2 linked regions of the Caenorhabditis elegans genome follow. The protein of the gene in region 1 interacts with the protein of each later gene in a pairwise test. Each region holds a gene or a part of one and is shown in the gene's direction. Other genes may lie near its edges.

Evidence for each region.
Region 2: the proteins of gln-6 (region 1) and M01E5.2 interact in a two-hybrid assay, tested with the Caenorhabditis elegans proteins (one large-scale study listed by BioGRID).

Annotation. Positions count from the first base shown.
Region 1 is NC_003282.8:9,738,613-9,743,535, reverse strand, and holds gln-6 (glutamine synthetase), read left to right. Parts: upstream 1-2,634; 5' UTR 2,635-2,681; coding exon 2,682-3,021; intron 3,022-3,084; coding exon 3,085-3,436; intron 3,437-3,512; coding exon 3,513-3,840; intron 3,841-3,885; coding exon 3,886-3,972; 3' UTR 3,973-4,275; downstream 4,276-4,923. Other genes in the region: C28D4.7 (DUF1248 domain-containing protein), read left to right, coding at 424-600, 710-1,210, 1,253-1,461, 1,507-1,639; C28D4.10 (Ubiquitin-like domain-containing protein), read right to left, coding at 4,316-4,470, 4,582-4,740.
Region 2 is NC_003279.8:13,275,961-13,282,297, reverse strand, and holds M01E5.2 (Mitochondrial ribosome-associated GTPase 2), read left to right. Parts: upstream 1-2,122; 5' UTR 2,123-2,141; coding exon 2,142-2,385; intron 2,386-3,137; coding exon 3,138-3,207; intron 3,208-3,260; coding exon 3,261-3,372; intron 3,373-3,422; coding exon 3,423-3,530; intron 3,531-3,796; coding exon 3,797-3,867; intron 3,868-3,930; coding exon 3,931-4,128; intron 4,129-4,378; coding exon 4,379-4,652; 3' UTR 4,653-5,330; downstream 5,331-6,337. Other genes in the region: M01E5.3 (RNase NYN domain-containing protein), read left to right, coding at 559-629.

The DNA of each region.
Region 1 (4,923 bases):
GAAAACCGAAATGAACTGGATCCTGCACGACAAAACCAAGAAAGACTGAACAGAAAATGTGTGCAGAAACGTGTTCCAAAGATGGTCTTACTCGAACATGCATATTTGAATCGAAAACTAGGAAGCAATCAAAATGAACAAGTGCAACTAGATCAAAAATAATCACTGAAAAATTGAACGGATAACAGAGAATTGCTTGATCCAAAAACGTTTTTTGAACGATACAATACCAACAAATCATATGCAGCCAGTTCCAAGTGATTAGTGTTTAGAATGTTTATAAGATTTTGAGATTTTAGAATAGTTTCCCACGTGTAGAACCTTCGAAGACCTTGCGTGTTCGGTTAACCTTTTTTATTTTACTTTTATGTTTTCGATTTTTCCGATTAATTCATAAAACTAGACTTGCCCAATTCGACTTGAATGCTCTTCAAATCTCTTGGCCGCCATCTCACGAAAGTTTCTTCGAATAGTGCCAGTTCACTCAGGACAATCAAGTACAAAACTGTGGATGGAAAACCAAGAGATACACTTACACTTCAAAATGTTGATTTTATAATCAATCCTGATGAGAAAATGATTGATGAGTATATGAAAGTGGTAAGTCATTTTCAGGAGTTGCGAGAAGTCTGGCATAAAGACTACATTGAGAAGTTGAAAATGTTCATTTGTTTTAATTTAATCATATATGAGCTCAGATGCATTTCAGTACGGAAATCAACGTTTGAACTTCAAAAGAAACGACATTTCAATGTGGATGAAGTCATTTGAAGGCCGTTATGCTCTGTGGTTTACTTGCCCAAAGGGAACTAACAAAATAATTCAAACATCCCACGTCATCACCTTCCCACCGATACCATCAAACAATGACACAAATCATCAATATCGTGGAATGTTTTGGATTGATGCAGATTATCGTGGAGTTGATAGCATGATATTGACTGATTATATTGAGAAGCTCAGAATTCGTAATCAATCAGATAATGCTGTTGCTCAATGCATGCCTACTTCGATGAACTTATGGAAGAAAATGCATGGACAAAATGATGCTGGACATATTCAGAATGTTTCATATTACAAGCCAGATGAGATGCAGGTTCCTGACGACTTGAATCTTGATGGAATATTCCTTAAAAATGCAACGGAGGCACCAAATATGTATATTGTGAAACTGTTAAATCTTCTTAGAGATCCTGAAGGTTTTGGAAAGGTTTGTTTCAAAATTTGAGTTTTATCAATTGAACATCTTTAGGTAGCATACGACAATAATGGAAAAGTGATTGGATTTGGAAATGTGATCATCTATCCATCTGGTGAATGTGTATTGACTCCACTATATGCTGATGATAGTAAAGTGGCTCAGGCAATATTCAAAAGCATTTTAAAAGAAATTCCACTCAATGACAAGAAGCTTTTGAGATTCCAAATAAGATCAATCGATCAATGTGAAGGAGGATTTGAGTTAGTTTTTGTTTTATGATATCTCAATTTTCATTTTATTTTTAGATGGATTCAACCCTTTGTTAAAAATCCAATAAGAAAGGAAATCATGGGATATTTGACTTACGAAACTCACTCTCCAATTATTAACTACAAGAAGGCATTCGCGAATGCACCGTACACTACTTGTGCAATTTGAACTGATAATGAATAATTAAATTAAAATTTTATTTTTTTTAAATGATTATCTTGACAAATTGAATCTGCTAGCTGGTGAATCATAATCACATAAAAATCTCGCCGTCCATCGACTTTAAAGTACCAAAATGAAGTTGAAAACGCAAAATAATTACTTGCATACTCAAAATTTGACAGTGATTTCAAAAAAAATGTTTTCGGCCGGTGCGACATTGACAGGTCTGTCAAATTTCAAGTTTTAACTAATTTGAGGCCATTTTTTGATCCTTCATTAATTTTTTTATGAAAAGTTTTCAAGCAGTTTCATATGAAATATTAGAATCATAATATTATGAAATTCGGTCTTTTCAGACAATTAGCCAGTGATTTCGACACTTTTGAAAGCAAACATCGAAATTATTTTAAACACTGCCCTTTTAGTTACTTTTGCTGCTTTTTTTCTCGCAAAATTTCACAGTTTCCTGTCTCGGATTTTTTTCCTGATGCAAACGTGCTCCCCCGCAATTTTTTTTCTTATCTCGCAAAAGAATTTTGATCTCAAAGTGCTGCGCGCGCGGCATATTTTTTGTTTTGCTGTTTCGATGGTGAGCTGTGTATTTCGAAATTCATTAATCAGTTTATTATTCTGGTGCGTCCATAGTCTGCGGAAAACGGGAATTTCCCGCGTGCGGAAGCGTCCATAGTCTGTGGAAAAACCGGAGTTCCTCGCTTTTTTTCCTCAAAATTCAAAAAAGTAGGCGTGGCCAACCAATCAGCTGTTGTTTCTTGTTTTCCCATTGCTCAGCTTAAAATTTTACAGCCTCTAATCGGTTGAACACGCCCACTATTTTGAAATTGACCAATAACAAAGCGAGAAACTCCTTGTTTTTTTCCGCAGACTATGGACGCTTCCGCACGCGGGAATTTCCCGTTTTCCGCAGACTATGGACGCACCATTCATATCCTTCCTTTTTTTGTAGTGTTCTTCTGAATTTCTATTCATCTCTGAATTTAATTTTTCAGCCTTCAAAGCCAGCCCCTCGGGTATTATCTCGTCAGACAACATGTCCCACCTCAACTACGAGACCCGTCTTCCGCTCGGCCAGGCAACCATCGATCACTTCATGGGACTTCCAGCTCATCCAACAAAATGCCAAGCTACATATGTTTGGATTGATGGAACTGGTGAACATCTTCGTGCCAAAACACGTACTATCAACACAAAACCGCAATATTTGTCCGAGTATCCGATCTGGAATTACGATGGATCTTCGACTGGACAAGCTGATGGCCTCAATTCTGATCGTTATCTGAGACCGGTGGCAGTGTTCCCTGATCCGTTCCTTGGAGGATTGAACGTTCTTGTGATGTGCGACACCTTAGATCATGAGATGAAGCCCACAGGTAAATAAAATTTTACCCTGAATTAATTTTGTGAGCTTTTTCTAAACCGTTTTATTTTTCCAGCCACCAATCACCGACAAATGTGTGCGGAACTCATGAAGAAGGTTTCCGATCAGCAACCCTGGTTCGGAATGGAGCAGGAATACTTGATTGTCGACAGAGACGAACATCCACTCGGCTGGCCGAAACACGGGTATCCTGCACCACAAGGAAAGTATTACTGCGGTATTGGGGCCGATCGTGCATTTGGTCGTGAAGTCGTTGAGACTCATTATCGTGCTTGTCTCCACGCAGGAATCACCATATTCGGATCGAACGCGGAGGTCACTCCAGGACAATGGGAGTTCCAAATTGGTACTTGCCTGGGTATTGAAATGGGCGATCAGCTGTGGATGGCTAGATACATATTGCACAGGTAATTTTCAAATTCTGTCAAATGTTTCACATTGTAACTTTTGCAAGAAAAACTCATTGTAATGTTGATTTTTTAGAGTTGCCGAACAGTTCGGAGTTTGCGTCTCTCTTGACCCCAAACCACGCGTTACAATGGGCGATTGGAACGGCGCTGGCTGTCATACAAACTTCTCAACGATTGATATGCGTCGACCAGATGGATTGGAAACTATTATCGCAGCTATGGAGGGACTTAAAAAGACTCATTCAGAAGCCATGAAAGTATACGATCCAAATGGAGGACATGATAATTTGCGCCGACTCACTGGGCGGCATGAGACCAGTCAAGCCGACCAATTCTCCTGGGGAATTGCTAATCGTGCTTGCTCAGTTCGTATCCCACGTCAAGTTGCTGATGAAGGAAGAGTTAGTTTCAGTAAACCCTTAATAAAACAATAATATATTTTACAGGGATATCTCGAAGACCGCCGTCCATCGTCGAATTGTGATCCATACCTGGTGACTGCAATGATCGTGAAAAGCGTGCTGATCAATTGATTCCTTAACTACTCATTATTTCATGTGAAAAAACTCGGTCTAATTGCAAACCTTATGATTTCATGTCGTATCATCTCACCAATTCCTGTAATAGTCTGTAATTTAAACGCATCCCAACTCAAAAAACTAACTGCATGTGTCTTATAATACTTCTTTAGCCAATCTCGAATACAACACTAAAGCATCTGCTTATCATGGGACATTGATAGAAAGCGCCAAAGTTCTCCCTTTCAGCTTTAAATATTCGGAAGAAGTGTTCAAAACGTTTATAAGAATTAGTTTAAAATTTATTAAAATATTGCATTCCGAAATATTGCGTTTTTTCTGTACGATTGGAACTTGATTATTCATCTCTCAATTTTCCGTCTGGACTTTTGTCTTGATTTCCGAATTTGATTGCAAGTTGTTCTGCTATATTTTCCAGGTAAATATCTACAGTATCTCCTGGACGAACTCGATAACTTGCTAGAGTACGGTCGGGTATCCAGAGTTCTTGACCTATAAAAACGAGATCAATAGCATCGGATTCTCGTATTCTTCGTGCATTTTTGAATACAGATTACTTGAATATTTTTCAGCTTAGTTTAAAAAATTACATCAAAAACCAACCTTCGAAATAAAGTCTCAAAATATGTCCGGACACATCAATCTCTTTGACAAGCATACTCTTCAATTCACCTACAGTATACTTATATCCTTCATCCAGAATGGTTGATCGTTTTCCTTTTACATCGAATAAATGAATAAATAGGGTTACAGGGCGAACAGCTGAAAATTTGATTAACTGAAAAATTGGGTTAATTTTTGGCAAATACGAATGTTTTTTTGAAAAATGAAAGTTTATTGAATAAAATCTGAAAAATACTGTTGAAACTAATATTTTGTTCGAAAAGTGGAAGTAGTCAAAATGCTAAAGTTTTGCAAAGAAGGGATTTACTACTGTGAGAATAA
Region 2 (6,337 bases), on another chromosome or scaffold:
ACTTTTTTTTTCAGATTTTGGATGAATTTTTATATTCTCCAAAATCCGAAAAATCCAACAAAAATTTATTTTCGCTTCCTTCTCTGAATTTTTGTTGGCTTTTGATCCGAAAAAGCAAAAAAAAAATTTGACGAAAAACACCAAAAAATGAAACAAAAAATCAATTTTTTTACAAAAACCGAAAAATTGTAATTTTAGACAAATAAAAACCAAAAAAGAAACAATTTTCTACCAGAAACTTTTAGAAAACCAATTTTCGACATAAACTCCGAGAAAAACCAATTTTTGATTTACAAAAAAAAAAACCCGAAAATGCCAATTTCTTACTAAAACTAAAAATAAATAAATAAAAATCCCATTAAAAACTTTTTAAAAACAAATAATCAAAAAAAAAACCAATTTTCGAGAAAACAAACCCGAAAATATCAATTTCTTACAAAAAACCCATAAAAAAATTTTTAAAACAAAATTTAAAAAAATTTCGGTTAAAAAATGTATGCCAAAATTTTAAAAAAATCTAAATTGATTAAAAAAAATAATATCTCTCCAATTTTGCAGACGATGAAGTGATGGAAGTAGGAGGAGTCGACGGACAATTCATGATGGATGGCCGAGCAGTTATGGAATAGTTTTCCCTCGTCCACGGCCACAATCACCTCTTCATTCAACAACTAATCTTTCTCACTAATATATTCTTGATTTTCCCCAAATAATCCCATTTTCTTCTTCATCTCCATTGAATTTTCACGTATCCGGGTAGTATTTAGGATATCATTTCGTTTCAAACCAGTCCCCCCACCACTTTTTTTTTTTTGAAATCTGAAATATTCAGATTTCCCCTGTTATTATTTAATACTGTCACAGTCATTTCTGTACCTTTTTTGAAGTTTTCGCACTGAAAATTTTCCAATTTTTCATTAAAAATAGCCCAATGTGTCGTCGTTTGTGCCTTTTCGGTCCTCCTGTTTTTCTCGAAAAAAAACCCGCTTTTTAAAAACTTTTCTTCATATACTAAAACTTTCAGTAATCCCAGTGTGTGTTCTCTCTTATTCATTTTTTCCCACCAATTTTCATACAAATTTGAAATTGTACAGAATTTTCCCTTTTTTCCTTTTAATTCTTAATGCTAAAATCACTTAATTTTACCCAAAAATAATTTACCATGTCTTCTCTAATTCCCTGTCTCTCTCTCTCTCTCGCTTGATTCACAGTTTGACGTACTCCGCCGAACAATTTCGCTTCTTTTTTTGTTGAAATGTTTTTTTTTCACACCTACATAGCCTATAAGCTCCAATTATTGTGTCTCTCAGCGGCTTATTTGATATATTGTCCACAATATTTCTCGTGTTCCTTCTCCTTCTCGCTGACTTGGAGATTTTGTTTTTCCAATGAAAATGTATTTTAAATTACTTTCAAACGAATTTTTTCAAAACAGTAAAATTTTCGATGGTTTTCCATATTTTTCCCAGAAAAATCGCTAATTTTGATGAGCATTTGAATTGCCGCGCGCTCATTCTTAAGCTCCGCCCATTTTTCCGTGCCGCATTTTCCAGGTTCGGCGCTAATTTTTCGATTAATTTCTTTATTTTCTAGTGAAAAAAAAGGATTTTTGTGGAAAAATTTCAGCCAAAATCCGAAATTTTCTATTTTTTCGGTTTTTTTCGGAGAAAATCAAAAAAAAAAATTATTTAAAAAAATAGTCGAAAAATGTCTTCAAAAGTTGAAAAAACATTAAAAATTAAAATTTTTCCAATTAAAAAAAAACCAAAAAAGTTTCGTTTCTCGCCATTCCGAAAATTTCGAAAAGTGCGGCACGGAAAAGTGGGCGGAGCTTAGAGACAATAAAATTTTATTGATTTGTTCATTTTTTTCATGGATTTTACATTAAAATTCAGTTATAAAATAAAAATAAAAATAAACAAAAAAAATGTCTTCAAACGCTGCAAAAATTTTTTTTCGCCTTTCTGAAAATTTCAACAAAATTCAAAGTGCTGCACGGAAAAATAGGCGGGGCTTAGAGACAACTTTTTGAAAAAATTATTGATTTTTTCATTTTTATATAGATTTTACATCAAAATTCATTTATAAAATTGAAAAAAAATTCTGCAAAATTAAATTTTAGAAAAAATTACTGGAAAAAAATGCGAATTTCCCTGCAAAAATGCTCCAAAACCGCGTGCTCCGTCCTATCAAAACGTCCAATTTTATCGCCGAAAAAGCCGAAATCCGAAGGAGAAGCCACTTCATTTATTGATTATCGACGTGTTAGATGTCAGGCTGGAAATGGTGGAAATGGAATGGTTTCATTTTTTCGTGGATATCGGAAACCATTTGGTGGTCCAGATGGTGGTGATGGTGGACATGGGGGACATGTCGTTTTTCGAGGTACTTATTGCATGCTGAATTATTGGAAAAGCACGAAAAAATCAATTTTTTCAACGAAAAACTCAACCAACTTGGGTCTCGCCACGAAAAAAACTTTTCAGCTACAGTAACCGCAATTTTTGGGATTTCCTTGATTTTTTACATAGTCCAAACTTGTTAAAATTTGAAATAAAAATCAAAAGTGAGTTAGAAAAAAAATAAGCGGGTACGGTAGCTGATTTTCGTGGTGGGACCCGAGACTGTGAAAAATTGATTTTTCAGCAAAAATTTAATAGAACACCGGTGAGCATTCAAGAAAATTGTGAAATTTGGTTTTTTTTCATACGAAAAAAAAAAAATTCAAAAATGGAAATACGTTTTAGTCGTAAATTTTTCATTTTTGAGTGAAATTTTACAATTTTTTAACTCTAAAATTCTGCGGAAACCGATATTTTAACACATTTTCACCTAAAATTTCAAGATTTTCCACTAAAAAGTAGTCTTTTTAACAGTTGAAGTGAATTTTCACAGTTTTTTGATTAATCTTCCGTAAATTACGTTCCATGGTAAAATTTTATAAAATAATAATGAAAAATTGAAAAATGTATAGAAAATTCAATTTTCAGTCAAGCTTTCTGATTTTTAATATAAATTTATTTCAAATTTAGCGCGAAAACTTTGCGATTTATTGAGAAAAATTTAAACTTAGAAAAAAAAAGTTTTTAAAAATTAATTTTAAAGCTACAAATTCTAAAAAAAAATCAAATTTTCAGCCAGTCGCAGTAGTAAAGATCTCTCGACAGTTCACTCAATCGTACGGGCTCAAAATGGAGAATTCGGCAGGTATCCGGCTACCACAAAAAAATCGTAAAAAATCTAATTTCTACATTTTCCAGATCAAAATCATGTCACGGAAAATCAGCAGACCATAAAGAAGTTGAAGTACCTCTTGGTACCGTATTCAAAGCTGATGGGAACACAATTTTTGAGTTAAACAACGAAAATGATGTGAGATTCTCTCGATGGAGCGTACTTACAACATTCAACACTTTTTTTAGATGTTCATTGCGGCACGTGGCGGAGTTGGAGGACGTGGAAATCAGTTTTATGTGTCGAATGAGGTCCGAAAACCATTTAAAGCAGAGTATGGAGGAGAAGGAGAAGAGGTTTTGTTCATATCTCTTTTAATTTCAGTTTGTAGTCGATTTGGAGTTAAAATTCGGAATGAGCGTAAAATTTTGGATCGTAATGATGTGCGACATGACCAGAATAGGCCGGGCCTGCTTTGTGCCTACTTCATGCCTACAGCCTGCCTACCCGTAGGCACAAAGTAGGCATCGGGCATGTCGCACATCGATCCGGGCCTAAATTTTGCGCTGATCCCGAACATGCACTCCGAATTGGGCGAAAAATTCAAATAAAATTTTTTCAGCTAATTTACGACGTGGAAATGCGAGTTATGGCGACAGCAGGCCTGGTTGGATTCCCGAATGCTGGAAAATCGTGAGTTTTTCTGGAAATTTCATATAATTTTCGCGACGAGACCAAAATGTGCTCAATTTTCAGTTCGCTGCTCCGTGCAATTTCCCGAGCCAAACCGAAAGTCGCCTCGTACCCATTTACAACGCTCCACCCGCATATTGGTGTTGTATTCTATGAGGATTTCGAGCAAATCGCGGTTGCCGATATTCCAGGGCTCATTGAGGATTCTCATTTGAACAAAGGGCTCGGAATCTCTTTTTTGAAGCATATCGAACGATGCGAGTAAGGGAACATTCACTGTGTCGATTTACGCAGATCGTGTAGTCCTCGAGGATAAGATTTAGGCTGAAAAACTAGATTTTAGCCTATTTTGGCTCAAGTTCAAGTTCAACAGTAAATTAAACATGTACCAATTCTAATAGTTAAAAAAAAACTGTGAAATCTTTTCCTCGTGGAGTACACGAGCTGAGTAAATCTACAAATGGTCGTGTTCTTCTTCCATGCTAAAAGGTTAAACATATCGTGTTTTCAGATCCCTGTGGTACGTATTGGACTATTCCACTGGATCACTGACAGATCAATACAAAATGCTCCGCGTTGAACTGGAAGGATATCAAAAAGGGCTTGGAGATCGAGCATCAACAATTGTAATCAATAAGATTGATTTATCAGGGAAGAGCCCGGAGGAAGAAGCTCACCACCTCTCTTCACTCTTCCCGAATCTCCCTGTATTTCCTGTTTCTGCACAACAACGGATAGGATTGGAGCCTCTATTAGAGCATCTTAGAGAACAATATGATAAATGATTTAGTTAGATTTTTAATAAATAATTTTATTTTCCGTTGACCTTGAATCCAATTAAACTCAAGTCGCCGTCTCGCAAGAGCCCGATGCGTAGACTTCTTTTTAGTGAACTGCCAGAGTCACTATTTTTAGTGAACTGCCAGAGTCACTTATTTTAGTGAACTGCCAGAGCCACTTATTTTAGTGAACTGCCAGAGCCACTTATTTTAGTGAACTGCCAGAGCCACTTATTTTAGTGAACTGCCAGAGTCACTTATTTTAGTGAACTGCCAGAGCCACTTATTTTAGTGAACTGCCAGAGCCACTTATTTTAGAACAATCTATTTTTCGTGAAACAATCTATTTTTTCGTGTAACAATCTATTTTTTCGTGTAACAATCTATTTTTTCGTGTAACAATCTATTTTTTCGTGTAACAATCTATTTTTTCGTGTAACAATCTATTTTTTCGTGTAACAATCTATTTTTTCGTGTAACAATCTATTTTATCGTGTAACAATCTATTTTTTCGTGTAACAATCTATTTTTTCGTGTAACAATCTATTTTTTCGTGTAACAATCTATTTTTTCGTGTAACAATCTATTTTTTCGTGTAACAATCTATTTTTTCGTGTAACAATCTATTTTTTCGTGTAACAATCTATTTTTTCGTGTAACAATCTATTTTTTCGTGTAACAATCTATTTTTTCGTGTAACAATCTAAATTAGAAAATTCATCTACCGTTCTAAATTGGAAACTTCATCTACCGTTCTAAATTGGAATATATTTTGGAATATATTCTGGAATATATTCTGGAATATACAAGGAAAACCTGGAATCTTCTAGAAAAGTCTGGGAACTTCTAGAAACTTCTGGAAAATTCTGGAAAAAAAATTAAAAAGTTTTAGAGAAACTCAGAATCTTCTGGAAAAATTTAGAAGCTTCTAGACTTTTCTAGGAAAACCGGGAAAATTTTATAAAACTCTAGAATCTGCTAGAACTTTCTAGAAAAATCTGAAGACATCTAGAAACTTCTGAAAACTTCTGGAAAAATCCTAAAATTGCTAGAACGTTTTAGAAAATTCTGGAGACATTAAAAAAAAATTGGAAACTTCATGATTTTCTTAACAGGAAGAATTTCGCCAGGAAAAGGTGTAACTGCGCAAAAGGCACAAAAAGCAATTAGAGAGTTATTGAAACAATTTGTGTAAGCCATTATTTATTTTCTTTTCTAAAACAATGAAACTATAAATTATCGAATATTTTCCGCCACAATCTTTGCCTCCTTTTTCAAATCTCTTCTCCAGCAGAAGACAAGTATTAGAGAGGTGAATCCTAAGAGACCAGTCGGGAATAAAAAGAGCCAGTATTCCAGATCACGCTGAAAGAATTTTTTGCTGAAACTGCAAACTGAAAAAAAAGGAAAAACTTACATCATAATATGTGTGGCATCGTTGAATTCCGCGAAATTCTCGAACGCAAACCAAACTCGAGGAGATCTCCATGCAGTCACTGGAAATTTATTATAGAGTACGGGTACTTCACCCCTCAACCTCACCTATTACTGGTACTGTACACCCGGGACGCTTGAATCGGCGTCGACCACCGATCGCTTCTTGTCATTCCCAAAACGGTATTCAATTTTGGATCGCAATAAACCATTGTCAAATTGGAAGGAATATCCGAAGTATCCGAGCATGTAAGATT